2 linked regions of the Anolis sagrei genome follow. The protein of the gene in region 1 interacts with the protein of each later gene in a biochemical or structural test. Links are inferred from orthologs where the notes say so. Each region holds a gene or a part of one and is shown on either strand. Other genes may lie near its edges. The genes, in order: MYO6 and DAB2.

The links.
Region 2: the proteins of MYO6 (region 1) and DAB2 form a complex in vitro, tested with the Homo sapiens proteins (7 studies listed by BioGRID). The link is inferred for Anolis sagrei from reciprocal best matches to the Homo sapiens genes MYO6 and DAB2.

The regions. Positions count from the first base shown.
Region 1 is NC_090021.1:110,726,991-110,741,908, reverse strand, and holds the start of MYO6 (unconventional myosin-VI), read left to right. Parts: upstream 1-7,812; 5' UTR 7,813-7,921; intron 7,922-14,918. UniProt on the Homo sapiens protein: Myosins are actin-based motor molecules with ATPase activity. Unconventional myosins serve in intracellular movements. Myosin 6 is a reverse-direction motor protein that moves towards the minus-end of actin filaments.
Region 2 is NC_090022.1:277,766,916-277,781,952, reverse strand, and holds the start of DAB2 (disabled homolog 2), read right to left. Parts: upstream 7,288-15,037; 5' UTR 7,017-7,287; intron 1-7,016. UniProt on the Homo sapiens protein: Adapter protein that functions as a clathrin-associated sorting protein (CLASP) required for clathrin-mediated endocytosis of selected cargo proteins.

The sequences.
Region 1 (14,918 bases):
CTGTAATTTTTTTAGTTTGGTTGTTTTCAATCAAATGAGAAATTTCAAAAGGTGACGTATGGGCAACACCCAGACTTGTTGGCAAGTTAACAAAAACTGTTTCCTTTTCTTTCTTTCTTTTGATGAGTGTTTCGCTAGTATATATTCCAAATAAGAAAAACAGACCACCAGATCACTGACTGTCAGGTTTCCATGTAGTACAAATACCTCTTTTCTGTTATAGCATAAAAATAGACTGTGGCCCAAGGAAGAGAAAAATAATTCTTCAATAAAAAATTGAAAAGTTGAAAAATTGGCTACTTGTAGAACTTGTTCATAAAACTAGCTTGTGAAAATTAATATTTTGGAAATGTGATCTTCAAAGTAAACTTAGATACCTTGTGTTTTCTGCTAGTCTGGAGGAAATATAAGGTCTGTTCAAAGAGACTAAAACTTAACTGATGCATTTTCGCTGTTTTGCAGTCCAAGTAAAATAATGTGCTTGAAATAACAAAAGGAGATACACTGTGTGCCATCTATGCCACTACAGTCTCCAATTCTAACACCAACTATGAGCCAAAGGTATAGGAGTTCCTGCTAAGTTGCATGTTCCAAGATAAAAAAAACAGAGGAACAGAGAGTTGTTCAGATTACGGACTGTTCTCAAAAGGCTTCTTCAAATATGTAAGCTATTTTCTCATGCCAGCAAGTGGTCAGCAGTATGGCTCACCGGAACCTACTTTATTGCCTGTACAAATGTAAGTAGGACTGATTCAGTGTGTCCTTCCTGGTGCTTTCTTTCTTTGGGCAGCACTGACTGCCAAAAACCTCTCCATGCTCCCATGGTTTTGTTTCTATTCCTACTAGCTCATGCCACAAGCAATCTTGTAAGAGAAAACAATACAAGACTTTGGAAAAACCCTCTTACATGCAGAAATACTCACACTGAGTAATTGTACAATCAATGAATTATTATAAGAATATAATAATTAGCACTAATATTTTATCACAGCAACAAAAAGATGTTAACTATTTGGCTTATTCCACAAAAGTGTGTACAGATCTTTAAAATTGTCACTAAAAGATAAGGTAGTGGGAGGAAGCTAGATGTCTGAGGAATTTTATAATGATGGTGTCACCACTGGCACGCCATAAAAGTTCAGGGCGTCACAAGCAGGGCTTCCCTAGATGCTCTTTGTCTCTTGAAGTTACCTGGGTCCTTGAACTCTGTTTGCTGGCCAATGGAGATACCAGACACCATAATATCCATGGAAAAGAAAGGGAATAAATAGTTCCTTCTATTTTTCAGAACTAGAAGGGCAAAAAGCCTTCACAAAATTCTGCTCCAGCTTTTGTCTGGTAGTGTAATATACCTAGACTAATGCAACATCCTGACCTGAATAGTCCTCATAACCAAGATCAAAGGGCTTCCTTATTCTGTTGAATGCTCTTTTTGAAGGTGTAACAAGGAAACAAGCAGACCAAAGGGAGTGGCCCAAGCCTGTAGCCAAGGGGGCAATTTAGGGGTTCAAACCACCTGTGAACATTTTCAGGTCAAAAGTAAAACATTGTTCACTCATGAATTTTAACTGGTGAACCAAATCTCCATGCCAAGCACATGAGAAGCAAGAGTGCCTCCAGAACTATAAGCATTAGCTCAACAAAACTTTGATTCATACTATCATTAATGACCTTTCTACCAATTTACATTGCAATAGAAGCAATAACTGACAGAATGGAAGTGAGTGCAGTGGAAGCTGCCAAAATGTGGTAGCCAGCAGGCAACTGAGGTGTTTGCCACTGGTTCATCTAATCCAGTGGTTCTCAACCTGTGGGTCTCCAGATATTTTGGGCTTCAGCTCCCAGAAATCCTAACAGCTGATAAACTGGCTAGAATTTCTGGGATTTGTAGGCCAAAACATCTGGAGACCCACAGGTTGAAAACCAATGATCTAATCCAAGCCCTGCCAAGGAAATAATGGAACAGGACAAAGAGAAGCTTTGTTATTGGACTTTATATGAACAAGACTGTTTCTGATGACCAAGTGAAAGCTCAATTAGTGCAAAATCCACAAACTCCATTGCCAGGATGTGTATTTCCTGTGAATATGAAGACATATTTGGGATTTCAACCCAAATGGTTTAGTAGATTTCCCTGGTTAGCCTACTCATTTCATGTACAAGTTGCACTCTGGAAGTACTGTATGGTGTTTGGAGGAGAAGTTGGGTTAGAAGCTTGGTACATTGGTTGCTAAACCATTTGTGTGATGGAAAATGCAATAGAAGTCTTCAATAGACACCAAAAAACAGTATCATCAGAACAACTGGTGTTTGGCTGAAAACGTCTGCAACCCGTCATCATGATAAAGGAAATAAGAAAGAAGAAAACATAAATAAGCTTCTGCCAACTGTAGAAACTATTATCCTTTGTGGCCGACAAGAACTGGCTTGAAGAGGGAGCAATAATTCAGGACCTATTACCCGTGAAGAACCTTTGCACAATGATGGTACTTTCAGGGCCTTGTTGAGATCTTGTGCCAAATTAGGACACACTGACCTGAAAAGTCATCTCGAAGGGAAAAAAGTTTCAACCCCTCCTGAATTTGGAATGGCCTGAAAACCAAAGTGAATACAAACCTAGGTGGAGGTGCAGAAGCGATTAACCATAATTGTCCTGGCAGGAATCATTTTGTTTCCGTCACCCAGAGCATGTCACATGAATGAACAGTGTCATTAGTGAAGCATGCCTGGCTCGAGCAAGAACCCTGCCCAAACACACCTTGGAAGCCGTTTTTAAATGCCTGGAATGAAATCACTCATAAAGGAAATGGCTAATAGGACTTGCTGCCTCTCTGTTATGATTTCTGAAAGGCCACAAAATGGGATTGCTGCTTCAGTTATAGGTGAGAGACGATGACAATGATGATAATAAATTTCATTTGTTACCTGCCTGATAAAAACACACCACTATAAAATAGATACACCAAAACTAATAGTACAAAGATCAAAAAACAGTGGCAATGAAATTCAAATCCCAAAGTCATGGTTCAAAGTTTTCGGGGTAGGTTGTTGTAGGTTTTTTGGGCTATATGGCCATGTTCCAGAAGCATTCTCTCCTGACATTTAACCTGCATCTATGGCAGGCATCCTCAGAGGTTGTGAGGTCTCTTGGAAACTAGGAAAATTGGGTTTATATATCTGTGGAAGTTCCAGGGTGGGAGAAAGAACTCTTGTCTGTTGGAGTTAGCTGTGAATGTTTCAATTGGCCACCTTGATTAGCAGTTGATGGCCTGACAGTTTTTAGATGTGCCTTGTTACTGCCTGGGGGAATCTTTTGTTGAGAGATGATCATCTGTCCCTGATTGTTTCTTGTCTGGAGTTTTCCCATGTTTAAGTGTTGTTCTTTCTTTGCTATTATAATTTTAGAATATTTTAATACTGGTAGCCAGATATTGTTCATTTTCATGGTTTCTTCCTTTCTGTCTACCCTATACCATGCAGCTGTGGACAAGTCTACATAGGGACCACCAAGCGCAGTGCCCAAACATGAATCAAGGAACATGAAAGGCACTGCAGACTACTTCAACTTGAGAAGTCAGCCATAGCAGAGCACCTGATGAACCAACCTGGACACAGCATATTATTTGAGAACACAGAAATGCTGGACCACTCTCACAACCGCCATGTCAGGCTACACAGAGAAGCCATTGAAATCCACAAGCATTTGAACTATTTCAATAGAAAAAAAGAAACAAACCAGTGATTCCAGCCATGAAAGCCTTCGACAATATATTGACTGGGTAGGCCTACTGGAAGAGAAGGTCTTGAGTTGAGTTCTTGAATTCTGACAGCTCATTTAGCTAGAAGATAGAAGAACCTTGTTTTCTGCTGCTCCAGGGCCTAGGTAATGGATTCAAGCTGCAGGGGAAAGGATTTGACCTAAACATTGGAAAGAACATCCTGATGGTAGGAGTTGCTAGTGATTTGGCATGTGGTGAAATCTCCTTTCTGGGGGTTTGCAAGCAGAGCTTGGATGGTCATCTGTCTGGAGTGCTTTGATTGTGTATTCCTATATGGCCAAAGGGGGTTGGGCTGGATGGCCAACTCTATGCTTCTATGAGAGGGAAACAATTTAATGTCACCACTTCGGGCTCTGGGTCAAAGGGATGCTATTATCTGCCATTACTGAAAAATGTGTGTGTCAGCTAAGTAGCTGAAAGTGGCTGCCTTGACTCACAGAAGTGAAGACGAAAGAAAACAAACGTGTTCAGAACTGGTTTAAATAACAGGAAGATCTGGACAGGGCATCTCTACCCGCTCTGCTCAAAGCATAGGATTATCTGCTTCCTTTGATCTTCCACTCTTTGTACCTTTTCATCTCAATGATGGCATGCAATATACATTTGCCCTTTCTTTCCTGGTATATTTATTTGTGCATCATTGTGACATGGCGAGACAGTATGTCTGAATTGTATGCTGGGCAAGTAATAAAAATTTTGGGGAGAAACTCTGTAATGCAGATGTCAAGAATAAGGAGGAAATCCCCTAAAATGAGATACAAAGGAATCCCATCTCATGCAATGCCTTCATTTAGGCTACAAAAGCTTGAAACAATGAAAAAATACTGTTAACAGTTTGCACATGCCTTGAGCTACATAACATGATTTTTGTTCTTGGCTTATACATGTTTTACTTACTAAGGTGATCCCTTGTCTGAGTATGACAAGTGCAGTGTCTTGGCGGTGGATATGTAGGTGACTGTGGAGCCCTATTCTTGATCTACATGTTCTCCTGCAGTGAGGACATCAGTTTCCAGGTGGAAGGCGGTTCTTCTTGGCATGCTTTCCCCCTTTCACCCTCAATTCGTGCCTCTTCGAATTCTGCAGTACTGCTGGTCACAGCAGACCTCCAGTTAGAGCGCTCAAGGACCAGGGCTTCCCAGTTCTCTGTCTATGCCACAGTTTTTAAGGTTAGCTTTAAGCCCATCTTTAAATCTCTCTTCCTGCCCACCAATGTTACATTTCCCATTCTTGAGTTGGGAGTATAGTAACAGGTTTAGGAGATGGTGATCAGGCATTCGGACAATGTTGCCAGTCCAGTGGAGCTGATGGTGGAGGACCATCGCTTCAATGCTGGTAGACTTTGCTTCTACCAGCACACTGACATTTGTCCACCTGTCTTCCCAAGAGATTTGCAGGTTTTTTCAGAGGTAACGTTGATGGAATTGTTCCAGAAGTTGTGTGATGTCTGTAGACAGCCCATGTTTTGCAGGCGTATAACAGGATTGGGAAGACAATATCTTTATAAACAGGCATGTTGGTATCCCTACGGATGTCCCAGTCCTCAAACACTCTCCGCTTCATTCAGAAAGATGCTGCACTTGCAGAGCTCAGCTGGTTTTGCCTTTCAGTGTCAATGTTGACTTTTGTGGAGAGATGGCTGCCAAGGTAACAGAAATGGTCAACATTTTCTAATGTTACACCATTAAGCTGTATTTCTGTCATTGTAGAGGGATTGGCTGGTGACTGCTGGAGAACACTTTACTCGATGTTCAATGACAGGCCAAGCTTCTTGTAAGCTTCTGCAAAGGTGTTTAGAGTGGTTTGTAGGTCTTCTTCAGAATGTGCACAGACTACATTGTCATCAGCATATTGGAGTTCTACAACAAATGTTGTTGTGACCTTGGCTTTGGCTTTCAGTCTGCTGAGGTTAAATAGCTTGCCATCTGTCCGATAGATGATTTCCACTCTGGTGGGAAGCTTCCCATCAACAAGATGAAGTATCATAGTGATGAAGATGGAAAATAAGGTTGGGGCAATAACACATCCCTGTTTGAAACCTGATTCCACCTTAAATGGGTCACTTTGGGAGCCATTGCTGTTCAAGACTGTTGCCATCATGTCATCGTGGAGGAGCTGCAGGATGTTCACAGATTATACATGTCATTTCCTAATTGGTTCTGTCATTAAAACATGGAAAAGGACACCCTGTAGCTTATTTTACTATAGTTTTTCAAGAATATCTCATTGAGTCTCAACAATTTCAACATATTTTTGGCAGTCACAAAAACGAAGTTTGGAGTATAACGAGTACTTTCAAAGTAAGTACCACACAATTAAACAGAAAATAACATTTTCAAACCAGGAACACAACATAGTTCCAAATTTGTTACATAGTGTCATGTTTTCATCCCACAACACATAAACAGTGGGAGAAGCCTCCCACAAGGATGGTAAAACATCAAAACATCCGGGTGTCCCCTGGGCAATGTCCTTGCAGATGGCCAATTCTCTCACACCAGAAGCAAGCTGCATTTTCTCAAATCGCTCTTAACACGAGAAAAACAAACAAAAACAAAACCCAAAACCATAAACAGTGTCAATATTTTTTATTATTATTCTAGGTCTCATATTTTTATTTGTATTTTTGGACCAGGAGATATAATACATTTACCACTGAGTTGCTGTGAGTTTGCCAGGATGTATGGCCATGTTTCAGAAGCATTCTCTTCTGACATTCTTCTCATATCTATGTCAGGCATCCTGAGAGGTTGTGAGGTCTGTTGGAAACTAGGCAGGCAAGGTTTATATATCTGTGTAATGTCCAGGGTGGGAGAAAGAACTGCTGTCTCGCAGTTTCAAGGTCTGGCTGCTTTCTGCCTGGGGGAATCCTTTGTTGAGAGGTGAGTAGCTGGCCCTCATTGTTTCTTACCTGGAATCCTCCTGTTTTTGACAAGAGTTCTTTCTCCCACCCTGGACTTTCCATAGATCTATAAACCCCAGTTTCCTAGTTTGCAACAGACCCCACAACTTCTGAAGATGCCTGCCATAGATGCAGGTGAAACATCAGGAGAGAATGCTTCTGAAACATGGCCATACAGCCCAGAAAACTAACAGCAACCCAGTGATTCCAGCCATGAAAGCCTTCAAAGTGACATTTACCACTGAATTCTAAACAATACAATGTTCTAGGTCAGGCATCTTAAAACTGTGGCTCTCCAGCTTTCAACTCCCAGAATTCCTCACAATTGAACAAGCTCATTAGGGCTTCTGGGAGTTGGAGGCCCAAACAGCTGGAGGGCTACATTTTAAGGATACCTGTTTTAGGTTGCTGTGAGTTTTCTGGACTGTATGGCTATGTTCCAGAAGCATTCTCTCCTGACGTGTCGCCTGCATCTATGGCAGGCATCCTCAGAGGCTGTGAGGTCTGTTGCAAACTAGGAAACTGGGGTTTATATATAAGGGCCAGCTAATCACCTCCCAACAAAGGATTCCCCCAGGCAATAAGAAGCCAGGCCTTGAAGCTGTAAGGCCATTAAATGCTAATCAAGCCATTCTCACCCTTGGGGCAACTTCAAACCACAACATGCAGAGGTTAAAATAGAATCAAATGTATTTGTCTTCACTTTTTTCACTTTACAATTTTCATTTGGAAATCACTTGCATTTTAAATATATATGTGCTATTGTGGTTTTTTAAATGCTTATATTGTATTGTTAATTTTTGTTTATGTTGTACACACTGTATGTATTGATGATTTTACTTGGAAACCGCTGAGTCCCCTCGGGGAGATAGAGAGGTATATAAATACAGTTTTGTTGCTGTTGTTGTAAGGCTCACCTGGTCTCCAAGAGTGGAATGCCCGCTTCAGGGCGCATACCTTCGTGCTTCGCACTGCGCATGCTCAGTTCCCGGGAATGACCATTCTGACCACAGGCCGGGGAGAGAGCCACCGCTGCTGCTCTTCCTGGGGGGGGGGGGTTGGCTCCTCCTCCCGTGACGTCACGGAAGGAGGAGCCCAATCGCGGCCGGGCTTGGCTCCCTTTGGAACGCGGGGGCGGGGCTTCGGCGGCGGCAGCCCCAGCAGGAACATCCTTGCAGCGCCGGGGCCGAGTCGGCATCAGCTGGGGACAGAGCGCGCGCCGTGGCTGCGACCAAAGCAGGTAAACTCGGGAGGGGGAGCCGGGCACAGACCGGGCCTTTGATCCCTCTTCCTTTGCCCCCCCCCCCCCACTCCCGCAAGATGGACTGTGCCTTTCTCCCCGGCTTCTCCATACATTCGGGGCCCAGGGCTTGGCGCTCCTTCCCTCCCTCCTCTTTCCAGCCTGAGTCTCTCCTCTCTTTTGGCCGCTTTCCTTCTTCCCTTTCTCTGCTTGACGTTTCTCTTGCTCGCCTCTTATCCTCTGATCAGATTTGGAGCCAATCTTGGTGTCCAACCAAACCAATCATCCAACTTCGGGGTCTGGAGAAGTTGTTGCGCACTTTCTACACTCTGGCATTGATGCGGTTTTGACACCGCTTGCACTGCCGTGGGAATCCTGGGGTTGGTAGTTATAGGCCAGGCGCCAGCACTCTTTGGCCTGAGAAGGCTAAAAGACCTTGTAAAACTACAAGTCCCACGACGCTTTAGTATTGTATAGTGTTAATTCAGATCAATGCTATGGGATCCTGGGATTTGTAGTTTTAGGTGAGTCTCCAGCACTCTGGCCTGGGAAGGCAAGAGACCTTGCAAAACTACAACTCCCACGACACTATAGTATTATTGTATACTGTGTTAATTCAGATCAGTGCTATGGGACCCTGAAATTTGAAGTTGTAGGTGAGGCGCCAGCACTCTTTGGCCTGAGAATGCGAAAAGACCTTGTAAAACTATGACTCCCACGATGCTATAGCATTGCACCACAGTATTATTGTATAGTATTAATTCAGATCAATGCTATTGGATCATGGGATTTGCAGTTGTAGGTGAGAAGGCTAGAGACCTTGTAAAACTACAACTCCCACTACGCTATAGTATTATTGTATAGTGTTAATTCAGTTTGATACTTTGGCTCAATGCTATGGGATCCTGGAAGTTGTAGTTTTACCAGGCCTTGGGCCTTCTCTGTCTAAGACTGGCGGTGCCTCACCAACCTACAACTCCCATGACTCCATAGCATTCAGCTATGTCACACTGTCACATAGAAATGTCACACTGCATTAATTGTAAACATAGATGCACACACCTATCCAGAGAGAGGGTGGATCTATACTGTAGAATGAATGCAGTTTGGCTCAATACTAAGGGATCCTGGGAGTTGTAGTTTTACAAGGCCTTGGGCCTTGTAAAAATAATTGCGGTCCCTCACCAAACTACAGCTCCCATGACTCCATAGCATTCAGCCAGGGCAGGTAAAGTGGCATGAATACTACATTAATTGTAAACATAGATGCACACACCCATCAGAGAGAGAGTGGATCTACACTGTAGAACGAATGCAGTTTGGCTCAATGCTAAGGGATCCTGGGAGTTGTAGTTTTACAAGGCCTTGTGCCTTCTCTGCTCAATAATCGCGGTCCCTCACCAAACTACAACTCTCATGGCTCCATAGAACTCAGCCATAGTAGGTAAAGTGGTGTCACACTGCATTAATTGCAAACAGATATGCACACACCCATCCAGAAAGAGGGTGGATCTCTACTGTGTAATGAATGCAGTTTGGCTCAATGCAAAGGGCTCCTGGGAGTTGTAGTTTGGTGAGGCACCAGCACTCTTGGGCAGAGAAAGCCTGTTAGGTATTGTGGGAGTTGAAGTCCAAAACACCTGGAGGGCCAAAGTTTGCCCAGGCCTGCTCTAAATCTAGACATGATTGAATCTTTATTTGTATGCCCTACTCTTAGAAGTGTCAGGGTCTTGGTTCTTTTGAGTTTTTAACTCATTTCCGGCTGGGATGATTTGCCTTCCCACTCTGTCATAGGAAACACAGGTTGGCAGTTATTGCTACTTAATTTCAGAACTGGGTTGAAATGCAATAATTATCGGGTTGCTGTGATTTTCCTGGGCTGTATGGCCATGTTCTGGAAGCATTCTCCCCTGATGTTCTGGCCACATCTGTGGCTTCTGGAACATGGCCATACAACCCGGAAAACACCCAGTGATTCTGGCCATGAAAGCCTTCGACAACGCAGTAATTATCCTTTGCAAGGAAGTGATTGTGACAGGGAGGGGTTGCTGAAGGCTTGACCAAAGGAGAAATATGCTGGCAACTTTTCCAGTTCTGAAAAAATACAACTGCCATTCGGTTTGCGTACTTGATGTAGTCACCTGGTATTAGTGAATGAGTTGGGAGAAAATGCACAGTGCATATGTGTTTATTGCCTTATGATGTGTGAGAGCAGATGTTGTAACACTTGAAATAATAATATACTAGTAGACTAATAGACACGGGGCCACAGTGGGTTAAACCGCTAAGCCGTAGAACTTGCTGACCAGAAGGTCAGTGGTTCGAATCCACAGGACAGAGTGAGCTCCCATTGTTAGCCCTAGCTTCTTCCAACTTAGCAGTTTGAAAACATGCAAATGTGAGTAGATCAATAGGTACCACTTTGGCGGGACTTGCTTAGGCGATCCCTTGTAGCCAGAGGATGATGGTCCTCCAAGAGTAGTGTCTTGGCGGTGGGTCCGTAGGTGGCAGTAGAGCCCTGTTCTTGATTCACATGCTATCCTGCAGTGAGGACATAGGTTTCCAGGTAGAAGGTGGTCCCGATCAGGGTTGACTTGATGTGCCTTTCTCTTAGCATGTTTCTCCCTTTCGCCCTCTATTTGTGCCTCTTTGAATTCAACAGCACTGCTGGTCACAGCTGACCTCCAGCTAGAGTGCTCTATGGCCAGGACTTCTCAGTTCTCGTGTCTATGCCACAGTTTTTAAGGTTGACTTTAAGCCCATCTTTAAATCTCTTTTCCTGTCCACCAATATTACGTTTCCTGTTCTTCAGTTTCGGTGAGAAGGTAAGGGCACTCCATGCAGTCATGCTGGCCATATGACCTTGGTGGTGTCTACAGACAATGCTGGCTCTTCAGCTTAGAAATGGAGAGGAGCACCACCCCCCAGAGTCGGACTCAACTGGACTTAATGGCAAGGGGAAACCTTTACCTAGCAGACTCAAGCATCCAGGAAATAAAAATCAAAGAAATAACATTGCATCCACATAGCTGTTTTTAAGCTTGTCTTTAGTTGTCTTAATATGCTATTAATTAATGTATTTCAGTATTAATATCAAGCCGATGCAGAGTTTGGGGTATAATATTAATTAGACCTATTTGAATAGTAGCTGTCAAGCAACCAGAAATTACATTTATCAGGCATGTAGCAATCCAAATAATTGAGTCTACCGTAATAAACTGAATCCATTCCACCATGTAGATGCACCCCTAGTTGGATCTTTCTTTAAATTAACTTGGCATTTGCTAATCAATTCGGACTGTGATGACTTATGTGAAACATGAGGGTCTGGTGTGTTAACAGAGAATCCCAAGTCCTTTTGCTACCCCTCTGTTTTCATCTGAGAGAAAAATAAGGGACGGGGGAGAGGAAGAGGAAACGCTGTGTGATTTCTGGTGAGGGAAAGTAAGGCTTTCCTGTCTTCATATTTATGGCAGAACAAACTTCCTGCAGTACAAGGAGGAGCAGATAAGAGCAGATAAGCCCTGGTTGGAAAGTTTCCTCTTTTGCTGTCCTTTCAGGTGCACACCAGAGCTTCATACAGGAGAAACACTCTACTTCCCTTCCGCTGGGAAAAGGCAACAATCTTCTTTTTAGATAAAATGCATTAAAACCAAGGATACACCCACAATGCGACATGAATGCAGTTTGAAACCATTTTTACTGCCAAGGCTCAATGCTATGGAATCAAGGGACTTGTAGTTTTGTTTGCAACAGTGTTTCTCAACCTTCCTCATGCCGTGACCCCTTAATACAGTTCCACATGTTGTGGTGACCCCCAAACACAAAATTATTTTCATTGCTACTTCATAATTGTAATTTTGCTACTGTTATGAATCGTAATGTAAAGATCTAATATGCAGGATGTATTTTCATTCACTGGACCAAATTTGGCACAAATACCTGATACGCCTAAATTTGAATACTGGTGGGGTGGGGGGTGGGGAATGGTGTCATTTGGGAGTTGTAGTTGCTGGGATTTATGGTTAACCTACAATCAAAGAGCATTCTGAACTCCACCGACAATGGAATTTTTGAAGGATTGAACCAACTTGGCATACAGAATACAGAATATGGTACACATAACTTGAACCAAACTTGACCAACAGAAAATACTGGGAGGGTTTGGTGGGCATTGACCTTGAGTTTTGGAATTGTAGTTCACCTACCTCCAGAGAGCACTGTGGACTCAAACAATGATGGACCTGGACCAAACTTGGCACCAACTACTCAATGTGCCCAAATGTAAACACTGGTGGAGTTTGGGGAAAATAGACCTTGACATTTGGGAGCTGTAGTTGCTGAGATTTATAGTTCATCTACAATCAAAGAGCATGATGAACCCCACCAATGAACGAATTGGGCCAAACTTCCCACACGGAACCCCCATAACCAACATAAAATACTGTGTTTTCTGATGGTATTTGGAGACCCCTCTGACACCCCCTCACGACACCCCCCCTCCCGGGGTCCCGACTCCCAGGTTGAGAAACACTGATTTACAAGTCTTTAGCCTTCTCTGCCGAAGTGTGCTGGTGCCTCGGCAAACTACAGATCTCAGGATCCCATAGCATTAAAGTGGAGTCAAACTACATTAATTCTGCAGTGTAGAGATGCATCCTTTGTTCTGTGAGATAACTGTTCCAAAACAATAGAGTATAAGGTCATTTTTGGTAGCATCTCTATGATAACTGTATCTTGCATTGTAGTCCACAGGCTGTAGTGTGAAAAGTCAAGATAACAGGAATTCAAAAAGCCAATCCTGAGAAATGGATTTGTGAATTGTGGATATACGTAAAATTAATTTGCATAATGAGTCTTGAAAAAAATACTCCTGCTTCTGAGCAGTGCAGCTGCTGATGCTAAAGTTCAGTCCATGTAAGATGGTATCTGCATCAGTCATCTATACTTTGTCCTGTGCTGTTCAAATTTGAGTATGAAATTTACGGAAAGTTGTGTCATTTGATAGCGTCAGAGGAATGAAAAAGTGATCTGATCTGATGGACCAGTTGACTGTTTATGCTGGTTTGTAAATAGTTTGTTGTTGCATTCACTCAAATAATTGCCAACCAAATCAAACCTTTCTCATGAATTTCTTGGTAAAGTTTGTTTGCCGTTGCCTTCCTGTGAGGCTGAGAGAGTGAGACTTGTCAAGGTGGGTTGCCATGACCAAACAGAAATTTGAACCCAGTTCTCTAGAGCCTACCCCGACTCCCAAACTACTATGCCACGCTGTCTCTCATACATGAGATTTTTAACATTTTTGAAAGACTTGACTTTTCCTTAAGGTATCTGGATTAAATATTGTTATTAAAGGTAAAGGTTTCCCCTTGACATTAAGACTAGTTGTGTCCGACTGGGGGGTGGTGCTCATCTCCATTTCTAAGCTGAAGAGCCGGTGTTGTTGGTAGATGCCTCCAACATCATGTGGCCGCCATGACTCCATGGAGTGCCATTACCTTCCCACCAAAGCGGTACTTATTGATCTATTAACATCTGCATGTTTTCAAATTGCTAGGTTCGCAGAAGCTGGGGCTAACAGTGGGAGCTCACCCCACTCCCCCAGATTCGAACTGCCAACTTTTTAGTCAGCAAGCTCAGCAGCTCAGCAGTTTAATCCACTGCGCCACCGGTATAGTATAGCACATGTTTGTTTGTTTACTTCATTCAATTTATATCTAGCTTTTCCAGCAGTATGGGATGCAAAATAGTTAACAAAATTATATTAGTTACATTAATTAGTATTATATTGATATGTACCGAGCTAATCATTGTGAAACCAACGCATTGAGCTCAAGGGATATTCGGCATTGTCTCTCTTCCCACACTCTGTTCAGTTCTATTTATTTTATGTTTTTTTGATACTTACCTCAAGATTGAGATCCAAAATTACTCACAACCTTAATATGATTTAAAACCTACAAAATATGAACTCACAATTATTAAAACAATTAAGTTACAATTGCATTAAAACAAATAAGTAAAATTGTTAAAAACAACTTATAGCATCCCAGGTTCATTTTTTAAAACACTTTATTATTCAAAGGCCTGCCTGAATTTTTTTCAAAAAGGTTTTTACAAGGCAATAAAACAAAAGGTGGAAAAAATGCACATTATATGCTGTGCAGACAAAGCAAATCACACATTTCATTGGGTGCATCCAAGTCTCCAGCAGAAACCTGTCATTCTTTGGATAAGTGTCAAGAAAACGGTGACTATTTCCCAAACTATGACTACTAAAACTACTGAAAATTATAAAGGTTGCTTGCTATAAAAGAGTGTATTAATACTTCTCAGACAAATTTGAAAGATGGTCCTTTTGTCTATCTAATATTCCCAACTTGTGCTGGACATTTTGGAAACTGGGGAAGGCTGATGTCCAGGAATCAGCGCTTTTTTTTTTTTTTTGCCCTTAGCAAACTAAAATTGGTAGAATATTTGTTTAAATTGAGTTCATTTTTTTATTTTTGTACCCTCCCAAAGACTAGTCGTGGATGGTGTTGGGAACTCAAATCAATTGAGGGTGCACTACTTTGGATAGCATTGCCTATGACACTTTTCATGGATAATGGAGGAAGGAAATTGCAGGAGTAGCCATCTGAGTAGATTAAATATTTATGTTCCATAATGTGGCATCTCATGGGAGAAAGTTACATCTTCTAACAGAGAAGACTACTTTCCTCTAGTGCAGTGGTTCTCAACCTAGGGTCTCCAGATGTTTTTGGCCTTCAACTCTCAGAAATCCTAACAGATGGTTAACTGGCTGGGATTTCTGGGAGTTGTAGGCCAAAAACATCTGGGGACCCCAGGTTGAGAACCACTGCTTAGTGTCTAGGATTCTCCATGTCTGCTGTGTTAGATGGAGGTATTGAGGGGACTACAAATAGCTTGGTTACAGTCAGCTCTCAATATTCACAGGTTCTATATCAATCAACCATGGCTCAGAAATAATTGGAAA
Region 2 (15,037 bases), on another chromosome or scaffold:
AGTCCACTCTGCCATATATTCCATTTCAATGGATTTTATACAGCTGTATGGAAGGGACCTTTGCCTCTGGAGACCAGGGCTTGAATCCCCCTTCAGCCCTTAGACCATTGGTTCTCAACCTGTGGGTCTCCAGATGTTTTGGCCTTCAACCCCAAAAGCCAGTAAACTAGCTGGGATCTCTGGAAGTTGTAGGCCAAAACACCTGGGGACCCACAGGTTGAGAACCACTGCCTTAGACCCTGACCTTGGGCAAGTCACACATTTTCTCAACCTCATAATAATGCAATGGCAAACCTCTTTTGAACAAAACTTGGATAGGGGTGTCATAGGTCAGAAATGACTTGACACACAAGAGGGATGACCTGAAATGTATATGGCTCAAAGAACATTGTGGCTACCTTAGAATCTTGTGTCTTCCCTCAAGAGCCAGCTGATTTAGAGAAACTGAGCTTAAAATATCTGTTATAGATAAATCTACACATAAGTAACTAATAAAGTTGCTCCATGGAGTTTCAGATTTGAGTCGGAATCCTAGAACTTAGACCTGCTCTCAAATTCTATGGCACAGTTAAGGAGAAATGCTTAACCATAGTTAAGCATTATATCTACAAAGAGAAAGCTGCAAATAGTCCCTGCTTTCAAAGCAATTTGTAAATCTTTGCATACAGTGTTTCAGAAAAAAAAGTTTTGTCATTTCACCAAAAGGCAGGTATACTTTGTGTTGTCGAAGGCTTTCATGGCCGAAATCACTGGGTTGCTGTGGGTGAAACGTCAGCAGAGAATGACTCTGGAACATGGCCATACAGCCTGGAAACCTCACAGCAAGCCAGATATGCCTTGCTACCACACTGGGAGAGAACTGCCATCTCAGTGTTCAGTGTTCATTAGACAGACATAAGCTAAGATTGGTCTAGTTATGGCAGAGCAGGGTTAGAAACACATGGATCTTTAGATGTTGTTAGACTACAACATCCATCAACTCTATGCTGAGTAGCCAGCGGTAGGGGGTGATAAGAGAAAGAAATCTGGAACGTGACATGCTCACCCTAGAAGCAGAGAGAGGAAAACCCTTGTAATACAGTGTTTTTCAACCTCCGTAATGCTATAACTCCTTAATACATTTCCTCATGTTGTGGTAACCCCCAACCATAACATTATTTTCGTTACTATGTGTCACAACTGTAATATTGCAACTGTTATGAATCGTAATGTAAGTATCAGATATGCATCATGTATTTTCACTCACTGAACCAAATTTGGCACAAATATTCAATATGCCCAAATTTGTATACTGTTGGGGGTGAGTTAATTTTGTCATTTGGGAGTTGTATTTGCTGGGATTTATAGTTAACCTCCAATCAAAGAGCATTCAGAACTCCACCAGCAATGGAATTGAACCAATCTCAGCACACAGAACTCCCATGACTAAGAGAAAATACTGGAAGGTTTTGGTGGGCATTGACCTTGAGTTTTGGAGTTGTAGTTCACCTACATCCAGAGTGCACTGTGGACTCAAACAATGATGGATCTGGAGCAAAGTTGGCACAAATACTCAATATGCCCAAATGTGAACACTGGTGGAGTTTGGGGAAAACAGATCTTGACATTTGGGAGTTGTAGGTGCTGGGATTTATAGTTCACCTACAATCAAAGAGCATTCTGAAACCCACTAACAATAGAATTGGGCTAAACTTCCCACACAGAATCCCCATGACCAACAGAAAATACTGTGTTTTTTATGGTCTTTGGCAAGCACTTTGACACCCACTTGCGACCTCCCCCTAGGGTTCCTAACCTCCAGGTTGAGAAACACTGCTATAGTACAATTACAGACACAGTGCTGTGGTGGTTTACGTTGCTCCCCTGAGAATTGAAGAGCAGGATTATACTCTCACCTAAGCTATGAAAATCACTGCCAATTTGGGCCAGACCCTCTCTTGGCACCTGATATGCCTCACATGACTGTTGTGAATGTAAAGTAAGGAAGCCAGAGAGGTACATGTGCTACCTTCACTTAACCAAAGGAAAAGTAGGATATAAACATAAATAGTGAATAAACATAAACTTTATCTTGTGGACCATCTTCTTTAAATCCCAGCTGACTCTGTTAAGGGCTTAGTTCTCTGGCTATTAGCAATCCTCATAACACCTTTAACTCTCCTGACTACACCTGTGGGGTAGAGGTCACCAGTCCCTCCTCTTGCAGGTTTTCTTTCACACTCTGCAGAAGCACATTTCTATTTTAGGGCCAGCAGCGTTTGGCTCTCTCTCCTATTTCCTGACTGCAGCCAGAACTTAAGAAATGAATTCTGAGAATACTCCCAGGCAGAAAACCTTCCTAGGCATATGACTGGCTGGCTTCCTCTGTGGCCACCATCAATAGGAACCTAAGAGGAAGGCTGAGTTATGGGTTTGTTTTCTGCTTTTGTTTTTTGCACCTCAATAAGGTGTCTAACAAGTTGGGTGAGAATTTCCTCACCAATAAGCAGGTGATGGGGTTACGTTTGTAGGTTTTCAAATCCTATGCCACAGGCTCAAAACAGGCAACACGACAATCTTCAACCTTACAGGCACTTCCTTATTGACTACACAGTTAGCCCTCCATATTGATGGATTCTATTATCCACATCTTGAATGTATATACATATACACACACACAATCCCAAAAACAACCCTTGGTTTGGCCCTGTTATGTAATGGATACCATTTTACTATGTCAATGTATACAGTAGGTTTGAGCATCCATGCAATGAGCATCAATCCAATGCAACCTGAGCCCTGCTACATGCACAATGGAGGACCTTCTTGCGGCAACACCAGAGGCACTCCAAGTGGCCAGCTACTGGTCAAAGGACATTTAATCAACTACCAAGCTTGCAAACTCTGTTTTTGTCTGTTTGTTAAAAAATTGTTTAAAAATGTAATACAACTGTCTGGTTGCTACTGACACGATAAATAAAATAAATAAGCATCCATGGATTTTGGTATCTATGTGGGAGAGTTTCCTGGATCCAAACCTCTGCAGATACCAACGATCCTCTGTATGAATCTTGCATTCCCCAAACACTGTCTTAAGACCACTACCCTCCACAAAAATAGCAACTTCCAAGTATATTATCATGCATTTTATCAAAGTTTGTTTGTTTGTTTACTCTGAATTTATTCACTTCAAAATACATGGGTACTGGGTTGTGAGTGTTCCAGGCTGTGTGGCCATGCTCCAGATGCATTCTCTCCTGAATTTTCACCCACATCTATGGGAGGCATCCTCAGAAGTTGAGGGATCTGTTGGAAACTAAACCTCAATTGCCTAGTTTCCAATAGATCTCTCAACCTCTGAGGATGCCTCCCATAGATGTGGGAGAAACATCAGATGAGAATGCTTCTGAAACATGGCCAGGCAGCTCAGAAAACTCAAAACAACCCAGTGATTCTGGCCACAAAAGTTTTCAATTCATTCTGACAGTCCCTTATTAGCAAGATATATTTTCCCCTTCCTTGACTGGGTGAAATGGAAAGAAGAAGAAAAGCACGAGACTTTCAGGAAGGCTCCAGGACCTTTGAAAAGTTAATTGTGCTAAGTTTCCAAGCAACTTTTGCCAGGAGCAAACTCCCAAGACAATGCTAGCCTTCCTGGCTCAACCGTTTAGCCCTGGTCCAAACCCCTTTCAGCCGGTGTTTATTATTGGAGGAACAATTTACTATTGCCACCTGGCTTCCTTAAGTGAACTCCTGTTTGTTTTCACTTGAGTCTGAGGAATGTGCTGTCAAAGGCTTTCATGGCCAGAATCGCTGAGTTGCTGTGAGTTTTCCGGGCTGTATGGTCATGTTCCAAAAGCATTATCTCCTGACATTTAACCCACATCTATAACAGGCATCCTCAGAGGTTGTGAGGTTTGTCAGAATCTAGGCAAATGGGTTTTATGTATCTGTGGAATAATGTCCAGGGTGGGAGAAAGAACTCTTGCCTGCCTGAGGCAGGTGTGAATGTTGCAATTGGCCACCTTGCAGCTACAAAGCCTTGCTATTTCCTGCCTGGGGGAATCCTTTGTTGGGAGGTGTTAGCTGACCCTGATTGTTTCTTGTCTGGAATTCCCTTGTTTTTTGAATATCGCTCTTTATTTACTGTCCTGATTTTAGAGATGTGTAAAACTGGTAGCCAGATTTTGTTCATTTTCATGGTTGAAATTGTCTACATGCTTCCTGGATACAGCACATTATTTGAGAACACAGAAATGCTGGACCTCTCCAACAACTTCCATGTCAGACTACTCAGAGAAGCTATTGAAATCCACAAGCATGTGGACAATCTGGAAAAAAACCTCTAAAATCAGGACAGTAAATAAAGAGCAACACTCAGAAAACAGGGGATATCCAGACAAGAATCAACAGGGCCAGATAATACCTCCCAACAAAGGATTCACCCATGCAGCAACCAGCCAGGCTTTGATGTTGCAAGGCCATTCAATGCTAATCAATGTGGCCAATTGCAATATTCACACCTGCCTCAAGCAGACAAGAGTTCTTTCTCCTATGTGGACATTCACGGATATATAAACCCCACTTGCCTGGTTTCCAACAGACCTCACAACCTCTGAGGATGCCTGCCATAGATGTGGGTGAAATGTCAGGAGAGAATGCTTCTGGAAAATGGCCATACAGCCTGGAAAACTCAATAAACCCAACCAGAGGAATGATTTTACACCTGGGAGGAAGCTCTGCTAACTTCAGAGAGGTGGTTCTGCTCAGCAGGGACTACATCAGCCTTGAAGCTTATCAGGAGTCCATATTTAAGGCTCACTTAAGCCGCTCGGCACCTTTAAAGATGTGGCATGAGTTTCAAGGAGGCTATAACTCTCCCTCTGATAGTCCTGTTGTATCAAACTTCTAGTAGTCTCTCTCTCAACGTGAAGGCATTCTTGACCCCCTGTCACTTAATTGCGGCCTTGTTCTATTTCACTCCCTTTCATTTGTATACATTAGCCTGCCATTTCCAAGGCTTGTTTATTTTCCTTGGGCTTTGCAGGCCTGCTGTCAACCCTCTCCAAATTGGCAAAATCCTCTCTCTTTTTTGTTTTGTTTTTAAGGGTGGTACTTTACTTTCCAGGCAGCTTTTGCTAGGACATTCCTGCCCAGTCCAAGTTTCCTAGCCTTTACACACAGGCAAACACACCAGGCCCACGTCTCCCTCGCGCCCCATTCATTTCCCCCTTCCTTCCTTCCTTCCTCCCTTCGGCCTCCCTCCCCAACACCCAACTTGGCCAAGAGTCCTGAATTCCTTAAGAGAGAAAGCTCCCTCTCAGCAATTTTCTGGCATTTAGGGAGACTTTGAGAAACCTGGAAAGGAGAGAAAGGGGAGAGAGTGTCTTGGGTGTTTGTAGACCTCGCACACTCTATCCCAGGAATGGGCCAACTTGGGTCCTCCAGGTGTTTTGGACTTCAACATCCACCATTCCTCACAGCCTCAGGCCCCTTCCTTTTCCCCTTCAGCCGCAACTTGGGTCCTCCAGGTGCTTTGGACTCCAACTCCCACCATTCATCATAGACTCAGGTCCCCTTTCTGCCTCAGCTGCAACTTGGATCCTCCAGGTGTTTTGGACTTCAACTCCCATCATTCCTCACAGCCTCGGTCCCCTTCCTTTTCCCCCTCAGCCACAACTTGGTTCCTCCAGGTGTTTTGGACTTCAACTCCCACTATTCCTCACAGTCTCGGTCCCCTTCCTTTTCCCTCTCAGCCACAACTTGGGTCCTCCATGTGTTTTGGACTTCAACTCCCATCATTCCTCACAGCCTCAGCCCCCTTCCTTTTCCCTCTCAGCCACAACTTGGGTCCTCCATGTGTTTTGGACTTCAACTCCCACTATTCCTCACAGCCTCGGTCCCCTTCCTTTTCCCTCTCAGCCACAACTTGGGTCCTCCATGTGTTTTGGACTTCAACTCCCATCATTCCTCACAGCCTCGGTCCCCTTCCTTTTCCCTCTCAGCCACAACTTGGGTCCTCCATGTGTTTTGGACTTCAACTCCCATCATTCCTCGCAGCCTCAGCCCCCTTCCTTTCCCCCCTCAGCCACAACTTGGGTCCTTCCAGGTGCTTTGGATTTCAACTCCCACCATTCCTCACAACCTCAGGCCCATTCCTTTTCCCCCTCAGCCACAATTTGGGTCCTCCATGTGTTTTGGACTTCAACTCCCACCATTCCTCACAGCCTCAAGTCCCCTTTCCCTCTCAGCTGCAACTTGGATCCTACAGGTGTTTTGGACTTCAACTCCAACCATTCCTCATAGCCTCAGGCCCCCTCTTTTTCCTTAAGTGGCTGAGAGGGAGAAGGAAAGGGCCTGAGACTGTGAGGAATGGTGGGAGTTGAAGTCCAAAACACTTGGAGGCCCAAGTTGGCCCATACCTGACCTATCATCACAATAGAGAGAAAAAATCCACTTAAAATCCTACAGAATTCTGGGATTTGTAGTTTAGTGAGTTTGTTAAAGGCTCCTCCTTCCACTGCAAACGCCACAATTCTGCAGGAGGCAGAATCCGGATTTTAGGTGGATTTTTTCTCTATTATGTTGAAGCAGCTCAGAAAAATTACTCAGCATAGGAGGGTGAAGGCCAATATAGTGGACCCAGGTATCCGCTAGGCTTGGGTTCCAGGACCACAATGGATACCCAAATCCGTGGATGCTCAAGTCTCCTGGATGGTGTGGCTGTCCTTTATGCTTCCAGCATGGATGGTGGGATCCGTGGGCGCAGAATCCGTGGTCACGGAGGGACAACCGCGCTTGCCTTTGGGCCCAACGAAGTCAATGGGAAAGGTAGCTCCCAACTCCTCCCCCGAACAGCCACAAAGCCAGGCTTGAAAGTGCAGTTCTTTAAACCCTATGTGAAAGCGGAAAGGTGTCACTTGAAGGTATTCCGATGTGAAGGCCGCAAGGGTGGCTCCCGAACCCCGGAGTCTCCCGCAAAGAAGGCGTCCTCCGAGCCCACCCGCTGGCCCCAGCCCCTCCGGCGCGGGACTTACGCGAAGCCTAAGGGCGATCCGCTGGGCGCATGACCCTCCTCCTCCTCCTTTTCCGACCACCCGGCAGCCGGCAAGTGAGCTGTCAGGGCGCGGGGCGCTTAAATAGCCGCAGCCTCCTCCCGCTCCTCCTCCTCCTCCTCGTCGTCGTCCTCGGCCGCCCAGCCACTCCGGGCCCGCGAGGCTGGTTTTAATCAGAGGCTGGCAGCTGAGCGCGGCCCAGGAATGCGCCGCCCTCCTCTCGCCGCCCCTGGGCTCCCGAGGCTCCCCCGCGGCAAGGCCCACGCTTAACCCTCGCCGCCCCGGAGGAGGAGGGAGAAGGAGGAGAGGAGGAAGAGGACAGGGAGGGAGGAGGAGAAGGAGCAGGAGAGGACAAAAGAAGGAAGGAAGAGAGGAAGAGGTAGAAGAGAAGGAGAGGAAGGAGTGGAGAAGGAAGGAGGGGAAGAGGAGAAAGAAGGAGTAGAGGAAGGAGATGAGAGGGAGAGAGGAGGAGAAGGAGTAGGAGAGGACAAAAGAAGGGGGAGAGAGGAAGAAGTAGAAGAGAAGGAGAGGAAGGTGTGGAGAAGGAAGAAGGAGATGAGGAGAAAGAAGAGAGGGAGAGGAAAGAAGGAGGAGTAGAGGAGGAAGATGAGAGGGAGAGAGGAGAAGGAGTAAAGGAGGGAGAGGGAGGGAGGAGAAGAAGGAGTAGGAGAGGACAAAAGAAGGGGGAGAGAGGAAGAAGTAGAAGAGAAGGAGAGGAAGGTGTGGAGAAGGAAGAAGGAGATGAGGAGAAAGAAGAGAGGGAGAGGAAAGAAGGAGGAGTAGAGGAGGAAGATGAGAGGGAGGGAGGAGGAGGAGTAGAAGAGGATGAACCCAATAAAGGAAAGAGAAGAAGATGAAGAGGAGGAGGAAAAAAGAAGTAGAAGAAGAGAAGGGAGGAAGAAGTAGAAGAGAAGCAGAGGAAGGAGTGGAGAAGGAGAAGAGGAGAAAGAAGAGAAGGGGAGGAAAGAAGGAGAAGAGGAGCAGAGGAGGAAGATGGGAGGGAGGAGAAGGAGTAGAAGAGGACAAACAGAATGAAGGAGGAGAGAAAGGAAAAAGAAGAGGAGGAAAAGAAGTAGAAGAAGAAGAGGGATGAAGAAGAAGAAAAGGAGAGGAGGGAGAAGAAGAGAAGAAAGACGCGAGGGACAGGAAAGAAGGAAAAGAAGGAGTAGAGGAGGAATAGGAGAGGGAGGGAGAAGGAGGGGAAGAGAAAAGAAGAGGAAGAGAAGGAATGAGGAATGGGAGGAAAGAGAAGTGGAGTACAAGGAGGAAAGAAAGGTAGAAGAAGAGAAAGAGGAAGGCAAAGAGGAGGAATGAGAGGAGGTAGAAGAAGAAGAGAATGAGAGGGAAGGAGGAAAAGTAGTAGTGGAGGAAGAGGAGAGGGAGGGAAGAGAAGAAGGAGTAGAAACTACCAAAATTCCACAGAATGGAGCCATGACATTGGAAAACTACACTAATAGGAGTGTGGATACTCCCACTATACATGTTTATCTTGTTCAGTGGATGGCTGCTAGTCATAATGACTACATATTACTTCCAGCAATGGGTTAAACACTTGTGCTGGCAGTAGGTTCAAATCCAGGGAGCGGAGTGTGCTTCCATCTGTTAGCTCCAGCTTCCCATGTGGGGACATGAGAGAAGCCTCCCACAGGATGGTAAAACATCAGGGCGTCCCCTGGACAACATCCTTGCAGACAGCCAATTCTCTCACACCAAAAGCGACTTGAAGTTTCTCAAGTTGCTCCTGACATGAAAAAAAAACTTCATCATTGAAGGCAAGGTACTTCTCAACACCAGCTGATAGGCTACCATGAGGATGTTAGTGCACTCCTGTCACATTTGTGGGGTTCCTCTAGACATCTGGTGAGCTGCTATGTGAGCAGAACATTACACTAGATAGACCTTTGGCTGTAGTGGGTGCATTACAACACTCCACGCAGTGTGACTCTGGCCTTACAGGAAACAGGATAGATTCAAAGAACTGGAACCCAAATGTCCACAATCCCTGCCGACTTCCTTTGGAAATAGATCAGACAAAGTCCACCAAGTCATTTTTAAAGAGTCCAACTCAACACATAATTCTGGCTTTTGGACATGCAATGGAAATATATATATACACATATTAGTGAATCACATAATTCCCAACCCCAGGTTGATTGCCTTCTGCAAATCATTGCCAACCAAAAAATAAATAAATTAAAAAATATTCAAATAGATATACTTAGCAATCTCCAGGTCACTTCTGCCTTAACCATTTTTTCTCAGGTATGATAAGTATGAGAAAAATGCTCAGATACTGGTGTATGTAAATGCATTTGGGCCATTCTGAACAAAATCAGAATGTCAGTATTGCACGTAGTAGTGAAGCTACTACTCATGAAACCTTTTGATTGAGATAATAGATGCTTGATAGCAATTCTTTTTTTCAAAAATGCTACAAGACACACCATATTCTATGGGATTTTTTTAATGTCCTCGTGGCTTGACAGGCATAATGCTAAATGTGTGATACAGAATGCAATGACTGGCCTAAATGCAATGCCAAACATGATAACTGCTGACAGATCAGCTTCCATCTGAGGAATCCTGAATGCAGCAGCCTGCCGTGCACTGAAAAACCTGGTTAGGGAGGCTAGGAACTCCCTCAGAATCAATCTTCAAGCAGTAACAGAAATACTTAGAAGCAAAGAACCTCTGATTAGTATGAAGTTATAGCCAGATGTGTGATACATCAGCTAAAATGGCTATTGCAATTCTAGATTGCATTGACATTGTCTAGACCAGGCCTGGACAGCCTGTGGCCCTCCAGTTGTTTGAGCTTCCAACTCCTAGAAGGCCTAGCCATCTTGTCCAATGGTCAATTCTGGGAGCTGAAATCCAAAACACCTGAATGATGTCTTGATGAAACAGAAGAGCTATCTGGCTGAGGATTCTACGGCCCCTTCTACACAGCTGTATAAAATCCACATTGAACTGCATAATATGGCAGTGTGTGCTCAGATATTCCAGTTCAAAGCGGATATTGTGGATTATTTGCCTTGATATTCTGGGTTATATGGTTGTGTGGAAGGGCCCTGGGGGTCTCTTATTCTACTATTGCATTTGGAAGGAAGTGAAATATACTGAGAAAGCTTAGACACATCCTCAATGTTGCAAGCTCTTTACATATCACACAGCTCATTAAAATAGCAGACTGATGCACTGTAGCGGATCATGTATAAATGAACAGGTATACAGGTGAAGCCCCAGTCTGATTTTCATCTCTACTATTAATTCATTAGGTAGCCTTAAATAAGTCAGTCTCTGGGTTCATCTATACTAGGCATGGGCAAACTAAGGCCTGCAGGCTGGACACAGCCCTCTGCACCCTTATGTCCGGCCCTCAACATTTCCCACAACCTCTGGGCATAAGGATGTGGCTGGCTGCCGAAAAGATGAGGGAGGAAGACATGTGGTGTCTGGGAGCCCTCCAGAGTGCTTTCAGTTGCTGCATGTCTTTCTTGGGCCCTCCTCATGGCCCAATGCTGGTCTGGGTGAAGAGGCAAGCAGTGGGTGAAGTGGCTTCAAAACCACCTTGTCTGTCGCTTGCCTCTTCTTTCTCCTGGCATCAGGAGGAGGTGAGGCTGCAGCCTTATGCCAGGAGAAGCCCAGCCCGGGAAAAGAGGCAGGTGGCAAGTAAAGCAGTTGCAAAGTCACCTCAGATACCTTTCCCTTCTCCTGGTGTCAGGATGAGGTGAGGCCCCGTCTGATGATGGCAGAAGAGATAGGCAGGTGGGGAAGCCTCATCTGCCTCCTAGCATAAGAATGGGGTGAGCAGCTCCATCCTTATGCTCAGAGGAAAGCATGAAGATGATCGGCCCCTGGCTCCTCCCCTCCCCACCCCTCTTCCATCCCTCCTGGGATTGCTTTGCCCTGGCCCCGCCCCTCCCAGGTCCACCCCACCCCCAGTCTTGCCTTCTCCATGGCCTGCTCCGCCCCCAGCCCCACCTCCTTCTGAGCCCACCTCACCCTTCCTCCTGGTCTTGCCATCCCTCCTTGCCTGTTCCTCCGGGCAATGTGGCCCCAGGGCAAAAAAGTTTGCCCATTCCTGATCTATTCTGTAGAATGAATGACACTAGTATAACTGCCCTGGCTTAACATCATGGAATATTGGGATTTGTGGTTTAGTGATGCACCAGCACTTTTTGACACAGAAGACTAAAGAGCTTGAAAATTGAGTTGCCTTTAGTCCATGACACTGCAGTTGTCAAACTGCATTAATTCTACAGTCTAGATGCACTCTCAGTCTCCACCTCTATGCACAACATGGGGGTGGAGGGAGTTTTTGTTTAACAGGATTGTTTTAGAAAATATAACTAGAAAATAGAAGTTACTGTATATACTTGAGTATAAGCCTAGTTTTTCAGCCCCTTTTTTAGGCTGAAAAAGCCTCCTTTGGCTTATACTCAGGCAAGGGTCCTGGTGGGAAGGCCTGGGGTTGAAAGAAGGGCATCTTTTAGCCCCACGCCTTTCTTGCAGGACCCTCACCACTCCGCACAGCAATCCAGCTCTCCTTCCTCTCCTCTTCTCCTGCGCAGCACACACCTTCCTCTCTCAGTGCGGTGTGTGCCTTCCTCTCCACCTCTCTTGGTGCCAGTCTTTCCCACTTTTCCTTATTCATACACACACAGTATTTTCCACAAACTGTATAGTTAAAATAAACTATGGTCATTATTGGAAGGATATGCAAATACATTTACACTGAAGAAGGTTAGAAAAATGATTTAATCAGAGTTGGACAGTCTTATCTTAAATTACAGCTTTATATAAATATTCAAAAACATTTAACCTACTGATGCCTCAATTAATGTAGTTTTATTGGTATCTATTTTTATTTTGATATTTACCAGTAGCTGCTGCATTTCCCACCCTTGACTTATACGCGAGTCAATATGTTTTCCCATTTTTTTGTGGTAAAATTAGGTGCCTCAGCTTATATTTGGGTCAGCTTATACTCGAGTATATACAGTAATTGATTTGGCCAGCTGAGAACATTATATGTGTCTCTGTGTGTGTGTATGAAATGCTTCCTCTTCCCTGTCCTCTTCCTCCTTTCCAGGGCTATAATTTGCCATATATGAGAAATCACATGGGGGATTTGTTTTAGTAACAAATATACATGCAGAACATGAATGAAAGTATACTGACCGCCCTTCAAGGCAGACAATGCCCCAGAGAGCCACCTGGGCAGCCTTCCAAGACTGCACCCTTACTCTGAGCTAGGTCTGGTTGGAAATGTTCCGTTCTCTTTCTTTTTCACACTTTGTGTCCTGAATTTCCAGTTACTCACTTAATTTGTCTCTTCTGGGCTGAACATTACCTTCTTCGGATTGAGTTAAGCACAAAAATAAGTTTTTAACCATTTTGTCCTCACATACAAGGATGCATATTCTCCCTGTTACAAGAGAAATTGAATATACTCAACTCTCCACATTAGCGGTTTTGACCGCTAATTTGATTATTAATGGATTTGATTAAAATGTTCTTTCTAGGAATTTCTCGGTGCTCCAATACAATTCTGTTATCAGCTTCCAGCTGAAGTTGACTTTTGAATCATGCTGGAGGATCTAGAACAGTGGTTCTCAACCTGTGGGTCATGAGATGTTTTGGCCTTCAGCTCCCAGAAATCCTAACAACTGGTAAACTAGCTGGGATTTCTGAGAGTTGTAGACCAAAATACCTGGGGACTCACAGGTTGGGAACCATTGAACCCTATAAGTATTATCTCAAGCAAGTAGTAGTAGCAGCACTAGTAGTAAGATTGATATAATATTAATAGATAAGTAACTTGATAGAAATGGCCATTTTAATTCATGATTTCTCACTTTCATGGAGTCCTGCATCCTAAACCCAAGACCGACTTTATTTCTTTGCAGCCTTCTTCCCCTATCAGAATGTTCCAAACTGCTGCAGAGGAATTTTGCAAAGAATAAAACGGGTTTTGTGCAGAAAATCTGTTTTATGTGTAGGAAACCCCATTTCTGAGCAGAAAACTTTAGTAGGAGCTGGAAATCTGATACTGAAACCCAAGGATTTGCTAACTGATAGTTACACTGGGCTTGTGTACACTCTAAAAGTTCTCAAATGTGTGTGTTTGTTCAGTAGTATAGCTCTAGTGGGTATTTAAAATATTTTAAAACAGTAGTTCCTAATCACTAATGAAGATAGTCATTCTACACTTTTAGCGGTTCAAAACATAACTTGGATCATAATGTTATTGGCATGATTTGTGGATACTGGATTATTTGTATTTATAGTCCATTTCATACTTTTAAAAAAACCATTCTCTGTTTAAAAGCACCTAGCTGTTCCCTGGCTTTCCCATCTCTATAAGAAAATGACAAAATCGCAGACTTCCTTCCATTACACAATGTATGTTTAGAACAGTGGTTCCCAACCCCTTTTTGACCAGGGACCACTTTGTCCAGGGACCACTCTCCAACATTAGTACCAAAATGGTTACAAATCAGTTTTTGGTCAACTTTAGATTTGGTTTGGTTATTTGGGGTGCTGATTGAGAAAACTGCATTGGATAGACATCAGCTCTAGTTTCTGATACAGAACATATGCCTTCCAGTAGTCACCATCTGCTCACCCAGAAAATAATACCTAACCATATTTAAACTATGAGACCGGTCATTGCAACGGTGTAGTGACGGTGAGGCTGCACACCATATTTTAGTCCTTGTGGACTAAACTCCTTCTAAACCAGGTTGGGAACCACTGGTTTAGAAGGTGCAAGTTCATTGTTGAAAAATAATCCTCTTGGACATCAGTGGAATGCCTCCTTCATACAATTGTGTCAGAATTGAAACATTTATATATGTTAATCCAAACAAATAAACCAACCAGATGAGACACAGTTTTTCATCCATGGATTAAACACACTGGGCTTACTTGCTTAATGTGCTGTAAAGACAAAACTGCTAAGTAAGATCTTCTATCTTTGCAGTCTCCTGCAAAAGTGAGTCCCTAGAGCCATACTCCAAAGCCCTATCTTGATGATATGCACAATTAAACATGAGGATTGCACGTTTATCTTCCGTTATCAACTGGAGACTATCTATTTGTGGTTTATATTACATTTGTGTGTCTTACAGGCAGTAATAACAAATTTTCAAAGCTTGTGTGCATGTCAAACAATTACAGAGGATTTAAGTCAAGTGAGTAAGAATAATTATAGAAAATTAGTATGTAGGGGATTTTTTAAGGAGGCATGTTTAATAAGATTCCCCACCCACCACTCCAAAAAGATTTGGTGTGTCAGCAATAACTGGGATCATCTAGCCCTTAGAATAGGGTGGTAAGAGTTGACAAGGTTGAGCATTCCTTATCTAAAATGCTTGGAAACAGATATATTTCAGATTTTGAAATTTTATTTGGATTTTGGAATACCTATATTTGCATATTTGTACATAATGAGACATCTCAGAGATAGCACCCAAATCTAAATATGAAAATCATTTATTCTTACTTACACAGGGTGAGGATAATTTTATACAATATTTTTGTACATATAACAGTGTTTGTGTATCTTGAATCATTAGAAAGCAAAAGTGACATTCTCTGAGCCAACCATGTGGACAAATTTTTGTTAAGGGATGCTCAGCTGCTAGTACTAACATATGTTTATAGAGTCCACTCCTGCAAATGGAAACTCCATAGTGTGAATGAGCTGTTTGTAGAACAGTGAATTCCTTCCCATAACTGCTAAAGATATAGATGAAAGAATGTAATGACAAGAAGTAGGCAATTCTGGATAAGGGATGGCAAGATACTAAGCCATGTGATATATCTCCCAGCTTTAGAATTCCATCATGGATAGACAAATTGGAAGCCTATTTTTCTTACTTAAAATGAACGATGTCTTGGACTTTCAGGCAAAGCAAACCACTCAAGAGAATCCACAAAATGACTAGAGAAATATATATATATATTTTTTAAAAAATATTGTTCACAAAGAAAAC